Caenorhabditis elegans: one gene and its partners. The protein of the gene in region 1 purifies or fractionates together with the protein of each later gene. This does not show direct contact. Each region holds a gene or a part of one and is shown on either strand. Other genes may lie near its edges. The genes, in order: smg-1, srbc-68 and F53F4.15.

Region 1 (4,930 bases):
AAATTCCAAAAAGAAGTCCCAGGAATTATATATTTCAATGTTGGGCGCGTAGCGGGATATTTTAAAAATTGATTTTTTTTTGATTTTCCAGCAAGTGTTGCTTGGTACAAATGATTGAGAAAATGTGAAAACTGCTAGAAATTCAAGCAATTCAAGTGTATACCATTCATTATTCCATGTGAGCACCGACTGATGAATGACAGTATTCCTTAATCGAACCCATTCTCGTTGACTGAAACTATCACTTCCGATTTGATGTTCACAAGCAGTTGCAATGAGAGAGTGAAGCCATGAAGATATCATCAGTCTGAATCACAATTTATTAAAAATTGAAAATAAAATATAATGAATGCTCAAGAATAAACCTAGTCTTCTTCCACAATTTGTCTCCAAAATTGTTGATAATTTTCTGTAGAGCAACAACTTGTTTCCGTGCATAATCTCGTTTCGTTTGTCCTATACTTTGTCCAATGCTATCACCACGAACAATATAATCAGATTGAACAATGTAGAAGTCGTGACTGAAAGAATTGATTTATTAAAGTATTTATTCTGTCATACTCACGCTTTCAAATGTCCAACAAATATTGTGATAAATAGGTGATAGACTTCTGGATGATTTGAAGCAAGCCAATATTCTGTGAGTGGAAGTTCCGATGAGAAGAATTCAAAAATTGACGGACGGATTCCCATCATCTAAAATTTGTTCTTTAATTGTTAAAAATCGTTGTTTTCTGCGAAAATAATTGTTATTTTTAAACAAACCACAATAAGAGAACTCTTGGCACATGATATACTTTGAAGTGACGAAAAGAAAAGCAAAAGGATTGATTCATTCCATCGAATATTATCACTATACGGAGTATCTTCACTTTGCTTCAATCGTGACATGCTATCTGGAAATAATTAATCAATTGAATTCACAGATTTAATTAAAGTTAACCTATCATTATTTTCCTCAAATCCGTATATGTCGCTTGTAGATGATTGAGTGATGTAGGCGTAAGAAGCACAGAGACAAGATTGATAAGATCCTTGTATATCATATTATGTCTGAAATTATAAAAATTGATTTTGAAAAACATCGTACTCCCCGATACGATAGAGCATCGACTTAAAAACTTTTTCTCACCCAAACATTCGATTATCGCGGTTTTTGGGTGTGAAAAGTCCAGTTTCCGTGTTGAAAACAATCTGATGAACTCTAGTTTTGACTTGTGACTCTGCTGGAAGTTGTTTGACAATCTGAAATCAATTACATACACCAGCAGCTTGTATTACCCAGACGCAACATTTTGCGCCAACAATACAGCACCTACGCTCGACACGAAACATTTTTGGGAAATGCAGAATGATGTACACCTTTACAGGTTACAGTAGTTTCAAATTCTCGTTCAGTGCATCAAAGTTTTATCATAGTTTTTCAAATAAATTTTAATAAATCGTGAAAAAAACGTTTAAAAATAGCAATATTCCGCAGCAACAAGGGTTTAAAAGTACAGTAATAATAGGCGCACACCGTTTCGCATTTAGCAAAAAGTTGTCGTGTCGAGACCAAGTACCGTAGTTTTAGTTTCAGCGCCAAATTTCGGGTAATACTCTAATTTCGGATATTTTTGTGGCAAAAAACCAAACCTTTGCAAGAGAATTGAAAAATGCTTGTTTCTCCATAGTACTCTGATTAGAAAGATTCAAGTCTTTCAGAACATTGCACAATGATTCTTCAACTCCTTTTTGCAATTTTACATCATCTTTTCCCAATATCAAGAGCTCATTGAAAACATCACAAACGATAGTTATAAGTGAAGCTGATGACCATTTTCCTCCGTTTTCCTCGAGTTCGATAGACATTTCAGAAATCTGAAATTTATTGAATAAAAAGAATAATAAGCAGTTTGTTAACTTTTTGTTGGGAAAATCTGTTTTTGGTCCACGAACTTGAATTTTAAAATAAAGATGAATTGAATAAAATCAATATCACACTTTAAAGAACAAAATTAAGTCCTTGGAACTTATTATTCACAAATAACAAAATAAATATTTCAACTTTTTGAGAATTTGCCTTTCTAAAGCTTTTTTAGATAATTTATTTTTGAAATTTTCAGATATTTCAGCAAATAATGTGTTCCCTCATCATATTCTCACCATCTGATTAGTCTCCTCAAGCATTTTTTGACTTTTCGCCATTTTCACGAGTGCCATTGTCAGTTTCATTCGTTTCTTCAATTCTCTCATATTTCCCAATCCATTCTTTTTGATATCCGGTCGAATAATTCGAACCATTTCTTCTGCCAAATGAGGCTTCTCATTAAGTTGATCAGAAAATCGCATCACTGTATCAATGAGAAGCTCAAAATTCTTTTCATGACTGTTGAAATCGGGAAGGTTGGTCAGAATTGCTCGGAGGGTTGACTGGAAAAAGCGAAATTTTTTTATTATTTTTCAAATAAAATACCTCAAACATTGCAGCATAAACATTTGGAAATGTGTTTGCAACAAGTACAAATCCTTTCAAACAGTGGTTATAAACTGATATTGATGAATTCGGAAGCACTTTGATTATCCAGTCTAATGATTTTTCGACATTTTCAGTGTCGGTAGCAATTAGACGATTCTCCGTTTTTTGACTGATGACTCCAACGATGAAATACACTGAAAACACGATATCCGCACGTGTTTCTTCACTTTTCTTCGTAACACTTTGATATAATGTTCCAAGATAAATCAGAAACCTGAAAAATTTTTATTTTATATCTTCAAATGGCAAAATTCACAAACTCTGGATAGGATTCAGTATCAAAGAGTAAAACTCCAACAAGTCGTATCACTTTTCCAGCCAGCGTTTTCATGTCATTCCGATCGTGTTTTGTGAGACTAGGCCAACACAAGTTATCCAAAAGATAAGTCCATTTTACACAAAGACTCTGTAAAATAATAATTTCTTGGTTTTCCGTAATGCTTCCGAAGGGAAAACAAACCTCTACATTTTTCGTAGTTTGAAGAATCTCCTCGATTCTAGCGAGAATCGCTTTCCGTTCCTTCTGTGGCGTGTCACGTTGACGAAACTTAATTTGATTAACAATAAATACTTTTCTCCGTTTATCACATTTACCTGTTCTATCAGGTTCCCAATATCATTGTTTCTCGATGTTATCATTTTTTGATCGCACGGAAGGTTGCATAGGCTGAAAATAAAAGTTGAAACAGGAAAAAAGCCTGAGAAACGAATACAAATATCGGGAAAATTGAATAAACGAGAACAAAATACCTTAATGTGTCGGGCCGTTTAAGGATTTTAAACATTTTTCTCGGCCGGACTAGCATCGTCACGTGTCAGAAATAAATAAAAAAGGAAACTTAGCTTTGAAAATGAAAATGTCACGTTAAAATGTTTTAAGCAAATAAAACATTGTGATTTAATGAAAATTCAAGCTTAAATAGATTTGCACCCGGAAAGACGAAACAAATTTTAATTTGAGAAGATAACTATCGATAATGGCACTTTTAATTGTGGTGCAAACGCTTCGTGAGACCGGACTCATGATTTTTGGTATGCGCCTTTAATACAGTACTCGTGTTGCTTTTCTTTTGTTTTAATACTTTTAAAAGAACTTTCTCACACTAAAAAATTAGATTTTATGTTCTTAAAAAATAGCAATAAAATCTCCAGTTCTGAAAATCAATAAAAATGTTGAAAAACTTCATAAACAGATGATCAAAAAGCATTTAAACTGTCGACACATGAGTCAGCAAACATGCTCCATTGCTAATCGAATGTTTTGTTTCGGCCGCTCTCTCTCTTTACTCTCTTTTCCTCATTTTCTGCCCGTTTCAGACACTTTTTTCATTGTTTCCCCATCGATTTTCGCAAAATTTCGAAAAAAAAATCGGAAGAAATGGCTTATTCCTGTCGGTTTTTATGAAAACATGCAATTGAATCTCAATTGATAATTCTGAAAACCTCGAATAACGGCCTCTGTATACCCACGTTTTTCGCAATGATTCGACGCCAATCGTTCATGTTTTTAGTTATCTTTTATGCCCTGCTTTCATACTCTGAATACAAAATAGTTTTACAAGAGCTGTTTTTTAAACATTATTAATTTCCCAGCCATTTATTTCCCCGATTAGCTTTTTCTCTAGTGTATTCGTAATGAGTCATTCATATTTCAACTGCTCATCCTTGAAAAATTGGTTTTAAATTTTCCATAACTCATTTTTTACCTCAAATCTTGCAAATTTACCAATAAATCCTTCATTTCTATCTTTTCATTTCATCTTTAAGATAACTTCTCCTCTCAATTTCTTGACCGGACGCACCCAATCGTTTTCCAATCTTTCTCACTCTCTCCATCTAACTATCTTTATTCTGTAATTATTTCGTCATCTGATGCTGATGTTCACCCAGAAATCGATAAATTAGTCGCTTAGAACTTGCTCGGGGAGCATAACTCCCATGCAATTGAAAGACTGATGAGATTGTGTAGCTAATCGATATTCGTTTTGTTGAATGAAACCTTGCTCACGCGATTGCCTAATCTTTGTTGAAAACATTAATTATAACATTTAAAATTCCCCGTTTTTTTTCTAATATTCTCGAACTTGATTTCCGACAGTTCTTTCTTTTAATAAAAAATTATGTTAATGTTTTCAGTTCGCATAATATGTCGAATCATCACTCGAGCTGTTCTTCGAGAACTGGCGGTGCCCACCGTCGTTGTGATTGTACTGAGGATCTGACGGAAAACGATAAGCTGTGGAATGACTTTGAAGGATGTGCTCAAGCTGTGGCTCGTCTCTATTCGGACTCCTCTTGGAGAAATTTCAGAGGCGCTGCAGAGGGAACCACGCAGTTGTACAAAGTAAGGAAATTGTTTAATTTCATGAAAATCGATTAATATAAAAAATTCTAAATCGAATAGAAAATTTA
Region 2 (3,171 bases), on another chromosome or scaffold:
TTTTCGGCTATAAAATTGCTTCCCAGAAAAATTATTCACCATGCTCCAAAGACGATAAGCTAGAATATGCCATTCTTCTATCAAAGTTGTACTCCAAAAATGACGGGTTTCTGATAAAACTATATTCCACATCAAATGCAATGATTTCTCATGTAAGTTTTTTTAAAACTGTAATGGTACCGTGGGTATACTGTATGATTACTGTAGTTTCAGAAATATGAGCTTTCGTTTTTGTAAGAGATATTTGGGGATAGTGTCGGGGTACTGTAGTAGTACTTTAGGGGTACTGTAGGAGTACTATAAGATTACTGTAGTAATTGAGGTTTTGTCTTTTGAAGAGACAGTGCCGAGTTACTGTAATAGTGATGTAGGAGTACTGTAGGAATACTGTAATTCTAGAAATTTGAGTTATTGTTTTTTCAAAAGAATAGTGAGGGATAGTGGCGGGGTACTGTAATGGTACTGTGGAAGTAATGTCGTAATAGGACTACTGTAGCTCTATTTATTTGATTTTTTGTTTTATGAAAAGATAGTGTCGGGTACTGTAGGAGTCCGAAGTGGTACAGTAGGGGTACTGTAGGGACACTCTAGGAGTACTGTAGAATTATTTTAGTTCTAGAAAAATTTAGTTTCTGTTTTTACAAGAGATACTTGGAGATAGTATCGGGGTACTGTAGAAGCTGTAGGATTACTTTAATACTGGAAATTTGAGTTTTTTCATTTGAAGTGATAGTGGGGATAGTGTCAAAGTAGTGAGGGGTTACTGTAAGGGTTACTGTAGATCGCAACAAATTTTCAGATCATTCCTTCGATTCTCTTTCCTATAGTCACATTTTTTCTTGTAAACGTCCTACGAAAAGCTAAAAAATCTCGGAAACTGGTATCCAAGACCGATAGTAATACGAAGTCTACAAAAATCATAATCTATACAGCGATTATTTTTCTAATTGTTGAGCTTCCACTTGGAATCAATCTGGCGATCATTTGGTTTTTCAATAATTCCGTTGGAATCAAGTAAGTTTGACGGCAAAAAATTGGCTGAAACAGCTAGCTTTTCAGGCTGATTCTTGATCAATTTGAAGCTCTTTTTTATATGCTACTTACCGCAAACACAATTTCCCATTTCTTTGTTTGTTTCGTCTTGTCTTCACAATACAGGGCAACACTGATAGATGTAGTGTCGTGCGGGATAAGTTTCCAGGTAGGAATAATTTTGAGCGAATTTGAAAAAGGAGCCGGTATGAACTCAATAAATTTTCAGAAGAACAGAATTGGAAATCTTTGCAAAAGTCGAAAAAGTTCACAACAAAATGTTATAACAGTAAATGCAATATCAATATGATCCATCATCTTTATAAGTCACCAAAGTATTATTTTCCATAAAATGAAGCAGCGTCCGACAAATGGCGGGTTCTGGCTCCCAAGTAATAATAATTTTTCGTCCAGTAATCAAACAATTCCTTCTAACATTGAACTTTTTTATTATTTTAGTTAGAGTAAGAATAAAACCCTATACAACTACTTGTGGTTGTGAAATAACTGCACAACGGAAATTATCTCATATTCTAGTGAGGCTTGTCACAAATGCTATCGATACTATTGTAGAACTTGCTGATAGCTGAGAAACGTCTGAAACCCTACGAAAAGTAACTTCTGTTCACAAAAACATTTTACTATTAAAGAGCCCAGAATAATGTCAACTATTGTTTTTATATATTCCTTTATTACTGTCATAGTCTGTTACTCAAATATTTGCCTAAATTTGATCCTTTTATTAGCAATTTTCTGCTCTAAAAGAGTCACTTTCAAATCTGAATTGTCTCTTTTCTATACAAGATTTGCTGCAGATATTGGATACAGTATTTCTAGTAAGTTTTTGAAAATCTAATTCAATTCAATTTTGATTCAGTTAGTAATTTCAAATTGTACATTTTGGCGGTTATGATTTCGGAAATATTTGCCGTTAAAAATTTCATTTTCATCACACTATGGCTTACTATTATATTTGGAATCATTCGAACAAGTCTATTATTTTTAACTACTTTGGATCGAGTCATTTCTCTATTCTTCCCTTTCTTCTATTGCGCAAACCGTAGCAAACTTCCACTATTTGCCATTTTTATTCTAATTTTTTCCTTGATAATTTTCGATCAAATTATCATGTTCGGATATTGTGGGAATACTATTGATACTCCCATGAACTGCGACCATTTCCGTTGTTCTTTCAATGAGTGCTACAGTATTTATTGGGTAGAGCACGAAAAAATTGTATTCAGTATGATCGTCGTTTTGACAGTATTGCAATTAGGGAAACTTGTTGTTTACACTGTTCTTGCACAGAACCAATCGGCTCAAGTTTATTCAAGAGTAAGGTGCTGTACCTTTAAAATATAAGCAATTCATAAATTTAAGGCTACCCAAATAGCTATGCTTGACTCAACAACTCTTATTTTATTCAATCTTGTTCCGGTCATGTCTACTTTTTGGTTTGAATCAGCTGATTATGAAACGTATTCGTCGTTTGCAACTCTCTCTAGAAATCTTGGATTTTTAATCAACACATTGATCATTTTTCGAATATTCATGAGAGATAAAAATAATACAGTGACAGCATTAACATCACCCAATTCTTAAGAACTTAATTTTTTTAAAATAAATGAATAAAATTGCTTCAAACTATTGCTTTTGGTTTTTTAGTAAATGTGTAAAGAATTGTACGTTGAAGGTCGCATAAAAAACTACCTTCAAATTATTAATTAATCCTATTTTTATCGACTGACGTTCTTGTTGTTTTTTTTAATTTTTATATTAACACATTAACACAAAAGATAAATTATCCAATTTGATAAAAATGAAATCCCGGCAGCGTCGTTTGAGTAATGTTTTTGCCTAGCCTGTCTGCACTTCATTTTAAAAATGCAATTATTATTGGTTTTATAGTAACAATGAAACGCATTCATATTTAATGCACTTTCTGTTCTTGGCCTGTACAATTAAGCTATTAGACAACTGCGTGAAAGGTATCTGCTGAACGGAAATTAACTAATATATTATTTACACAAAAGTTGAGTATTATTATCTTTTTGTCCCTAACAATAACATTATGTTTCCTATTTTCACAGTCATAACCAGTTACGTAACAGTCTATGAAATCGTGAGAAAAGCTAGATA
Region 3 (3,155 bases), on another chromosome or scaffold:
TTTTTCGTTTTTATTTCTTTGGTTTTTATCCATTCATAATTATGCTTTCAAAGTTTCGAGAAGAAATTAAAAAATCTCATTAATTTCGAACTTAAAAAAACGTCAACGAAACATGAATAAAACTACATAGAAATTCACTTTTTTGTTGAAAAATTATCAATTTTACCAATTTTTGTGATTTTCGGTGATTTTCTAAATTTTGAAAAATTGAGTTGAATCTTTCATTCTACCCATAAAAGAACTAATTTTTCTTGACTTCATGACTTTTATTCCAGATGAGTTTACCCTGGTATCACCTGGAACGGCCTGCTCGAATGACCTTGCTACGAGCTTATTATACTGTATGTGCACTCACATATCCTACATATGTGGCGATCAACTACAAAAGTTATATTCCAGACAGAGCACAGGTAAAATTAAATCTAATTAGTTGCAGTTAATGAAATATATTTAGGTTCTTGGCGGAAAATCACTTCGTGACGAGATTCTACATCCGGCAATCGTCAAAAACTAGATCTATCGATGTGCAATTCCTCATCATTCTCCGAATTTTTGTCAAATACGAGTATTTTTCCGCCATTATCATTGGTTTTGAGTTTTCCCCCATAGGCCCTTTTCGTTTTTTTCTTTTAGTTTTTAGTCGTTGTTTGTTATCATTTTAAATTTATTCATTCATTAAAATTATTTAATTATGGATTGATGAAATAGTTAGAATAACGATACAATCCCCAGACTGGCTTGTTGGGATTGTAGCCATAATTAGGATAATATGGAATATTATCATCATAGACAGTTGGAAGATTTTGTTGAAGAAATAGACGATCATAGAATCCTGTCCGAGCAAATGCAGACGGAGCTCCACGAAGATTTGCTTCACGATCTTCCCGTTCTTCTACTTCAAAAAGTAATATTAAATTCTACAACTTCTCCGTGAAACCTACAAATCTCGGCAGCAGTTTTATCATGTTCACATGGCCAGACTTTACGAAAATTGACTCTTTCCGGAAGGCACATTCGACCAGGTGGCATTTCAATAGAATAACCAATCAGGAGAGTGAAGCAAAGAATAGAGAGATGAAGAGAAAACATTATTGATAATCATACAATGGGAAAGAGAAATATGGAAAAGACGATTAGGTGAAAAACTTCAAGAAAACACGATTTTTTGGTGATATCTCAGTGATCTCGACAGATTGAAAAATATGGGCGAACTGGATTCGCAATGCATTTTTGTATGTAATAAAGTTAATTGAAAATTAACTTTAAAAATATAAATAGTTCAGATTTATCAGGTTTTCCAAATAACAACATAATTTTTGAATAACGATGCATTAGGTTGTAGGTTGGATTTAACTTCTACCGTTTCACTTCCAATTTCTCAGCGTAAAAGCCAATCGTTATTTACCTCTGAAAGAGAACAAGAATGAATTCTTAAAACTTGCCTATATTTTTCTCATAAAATTTTGTAATTCGTGGACATCGCCTTAACCAAATGTATTATTACGAGATCACTACTTTCTGAGAATGCGTGTTGTGCAACATATCTGACGCGCAATATATCTCGTAGCGAAAACTACAGAAAATATTTAAATTACTACTGTAGCGCGAAATATTTTGCGCAATACGCATTCTAGACATCTAAAGATAAGAATTTTCGCCACATCTTAAATACTTATGCGCACGGTCTCGCCACGCTGACAACGAGTTACTGTAATAATGCATTATAATTTTCGTTTCAAATGAAACATTGCTTCTAAAATTTTTAAATAAAAACATGATCAGTCATAAATCAGCACGAGTTACAGTAGTCAGTAGTCAGCGTGGCGAGACCCAAGCGCGTAAGATATGGCAAAAATTATCATCTTCAGACATCTATGTAATAGATTTAATATGATTAAGGCGTCGCTATTTTGATGATCTGTAAATTTTTTTTGACAATTGTCTAGAACATCAAGTTAACTTAATGTTCTAGACTATTGATATAATACGAAACGACACAGATATATCCCAGACTATGAGTAATTCAAACAGTACATATATTCTCAGGTACGCCAGACGCTTTCTACTGAATGAAGCAATTAACAGCTCTGAGAGCCATCACGAGGAAGCATAAATAGAGATATCTTACGTGCACATGATGTGTTTTCCTTCCTTTTTCGAAAAGTCGAGTGAATAGATATGATAATTGTTTACTTTTTTACGGATTACGGAAAATCTAGTTCCCAAAAAATTATTTATTTTGCAAAATTCTTAGCATTCCTTAGAACAATATAATCATTCTGTAACCATAATCTTCACAGTCATCGTTCCAGTGAAGCCTTAAAATAAAGATTTTCTTTCTATTGAAAAATTTATATTTAAGAGAGAGCTTTTACCATTTTTTTTTTCACTTTCAGAAAAACTTGAAAAATGCTGGACTCTATCACATTATTCTTCCTTTCTTTCCATACGTTTGCCGGAGTTTCTGGCTGCATTCTCAATTCAATTGTGCTCTTTTTGGCACTTTTTCGGACTCCGAAGGTTAGTTTTTCGTGAAAAATCTTTGAACTAATCATAAAATATAGATTAAAATCAAAATTTGAGAGCTTTAGTTCCCAGTTTGGTAAAAACTGTGCAAATCTCGTAATATAGGCTCAGCTTTCTACAGAACTCTGCCATTATAACTAGGTGTGGGATAGCTGGAAATGTTCTGCAGAAATTCCTCATCACATAGACAAGCAATTTCAACCTTCAAACATCAGTTTCCATTTCCAGACAATCGCCGCTTACACCACAATTCTCATAAACTTTGCATTGACCGATTTCCTCGCCTGTTTCACAGATCTTTTCATTCAAATGCGGCATATTCCGGCTGGATTTACAATGGCTTATTTGTCACGTGGACTGTGCACTTATTTTGGACCCCATGTCTGCTATTTTATGTACACCATAATACATATTCCCCGACACGCTTCATTTTCTTAATTTCAGATACAGCATAAACATTTCATTAGTAGCTCATGGTCTATGGTCATTGCTAATGGGGTTCTCATATCGATATTATATCCTGTTTCATCCGGCACCAACGAGAAAAGCTTTGATAGTAATTCTTATGTTTATATCAATTCCGTCAATTATCCAAATGGTAATAATGTGAAACAATTTAGATTTCAAGC

The links.
Region 2: the proteins of smg-1 (region 1) and srbc-68 fractionate together in Caenorhabditis elegans (co-fractionation; one large-scale study listed by BioGRID). This does not show direct contact.
Region 3: the proteins of smg-1 (region 1) and F53F4.15 fractionate together in Caenorhabditis elegans (co-fractionation; one large-scale study listed by BioGRID). This does not show direct contact.

Annotation. Positions count from the first base shown.
Region 1 is NC_003279.8:6,910,395-6,915,324, forward strand, and holds the start of smg-1 (Serine/threonine-protein kinase smg-1), read right to left. Parts: upstream 3,158-4,930; coding exon 3,113-3,157; intron 3,066-3,112; coding exon 2,979-3,065; intron 2,925-2,978; coding exon 2,779-2,924; intron 2,733-2,778; coding exon 2,456-2,732; intron 2,413-2,455; coding exon 2,146-2,412; intron 1,861-2,145; coding exon 1,636-1,860; intron 1,246-1,635; coding exon 1,133-1,245; intron 1,054-1,132; coding exon 944-1,053; intron 897-943; coding exon 766-896; intron 697-765; coding exon 566-696; intron 522-565; coding exon 366-521; intron 308-365; coding exon 164-307; intron 1-163. Other genes in the region: haps-1 (Essential protein Yae1 N-terminal domain-containing protein), read left to right, coding at 4,665-4,862.
Region 2 is NC_003283.11:3,545,140-3,548,310, reverse strand, and holds srbc-68 (G-protein coupled receptors family 1 profile domain-containing protein), read left to right. Parts: upstream 1-1,693; coding exon 1,694-1,868; intron 1,869-1,909; coding exon 1,910-2,367; intron 2,368-2,412; coding exon 2,413-2,634; downstream 2,635-3,171. Other genes in the region: srw-130 (G-protein coupled receptors family 1 profile domain-containing protein), read left to right, coding at 1-152, 800-1,014, 1,060-1,201, 1,262-1,342.
Region 3 is NC_003283.11:13,618,941-13,622,095, reverse strand, and holds F53F4.15 (Neuropeptide-Like Protein), read right to left. Parts: upstream 1,121-3,155; 5' UTR 1,090-1,120; coding exon 942-1,089; intron 896-941; coding exon 690-895; 3' UTR 620-689; downstream 1-619. Other genes in the region: F53F4.16 (uncharacterized protein), read left to right, coding at 276-410, 455-514; srd-11 (G-protein coupled receptors family 1 profile domain-containing protein), read left to right, coding at 2,410-2,520, 2,755-2,921, 2,971-3,124.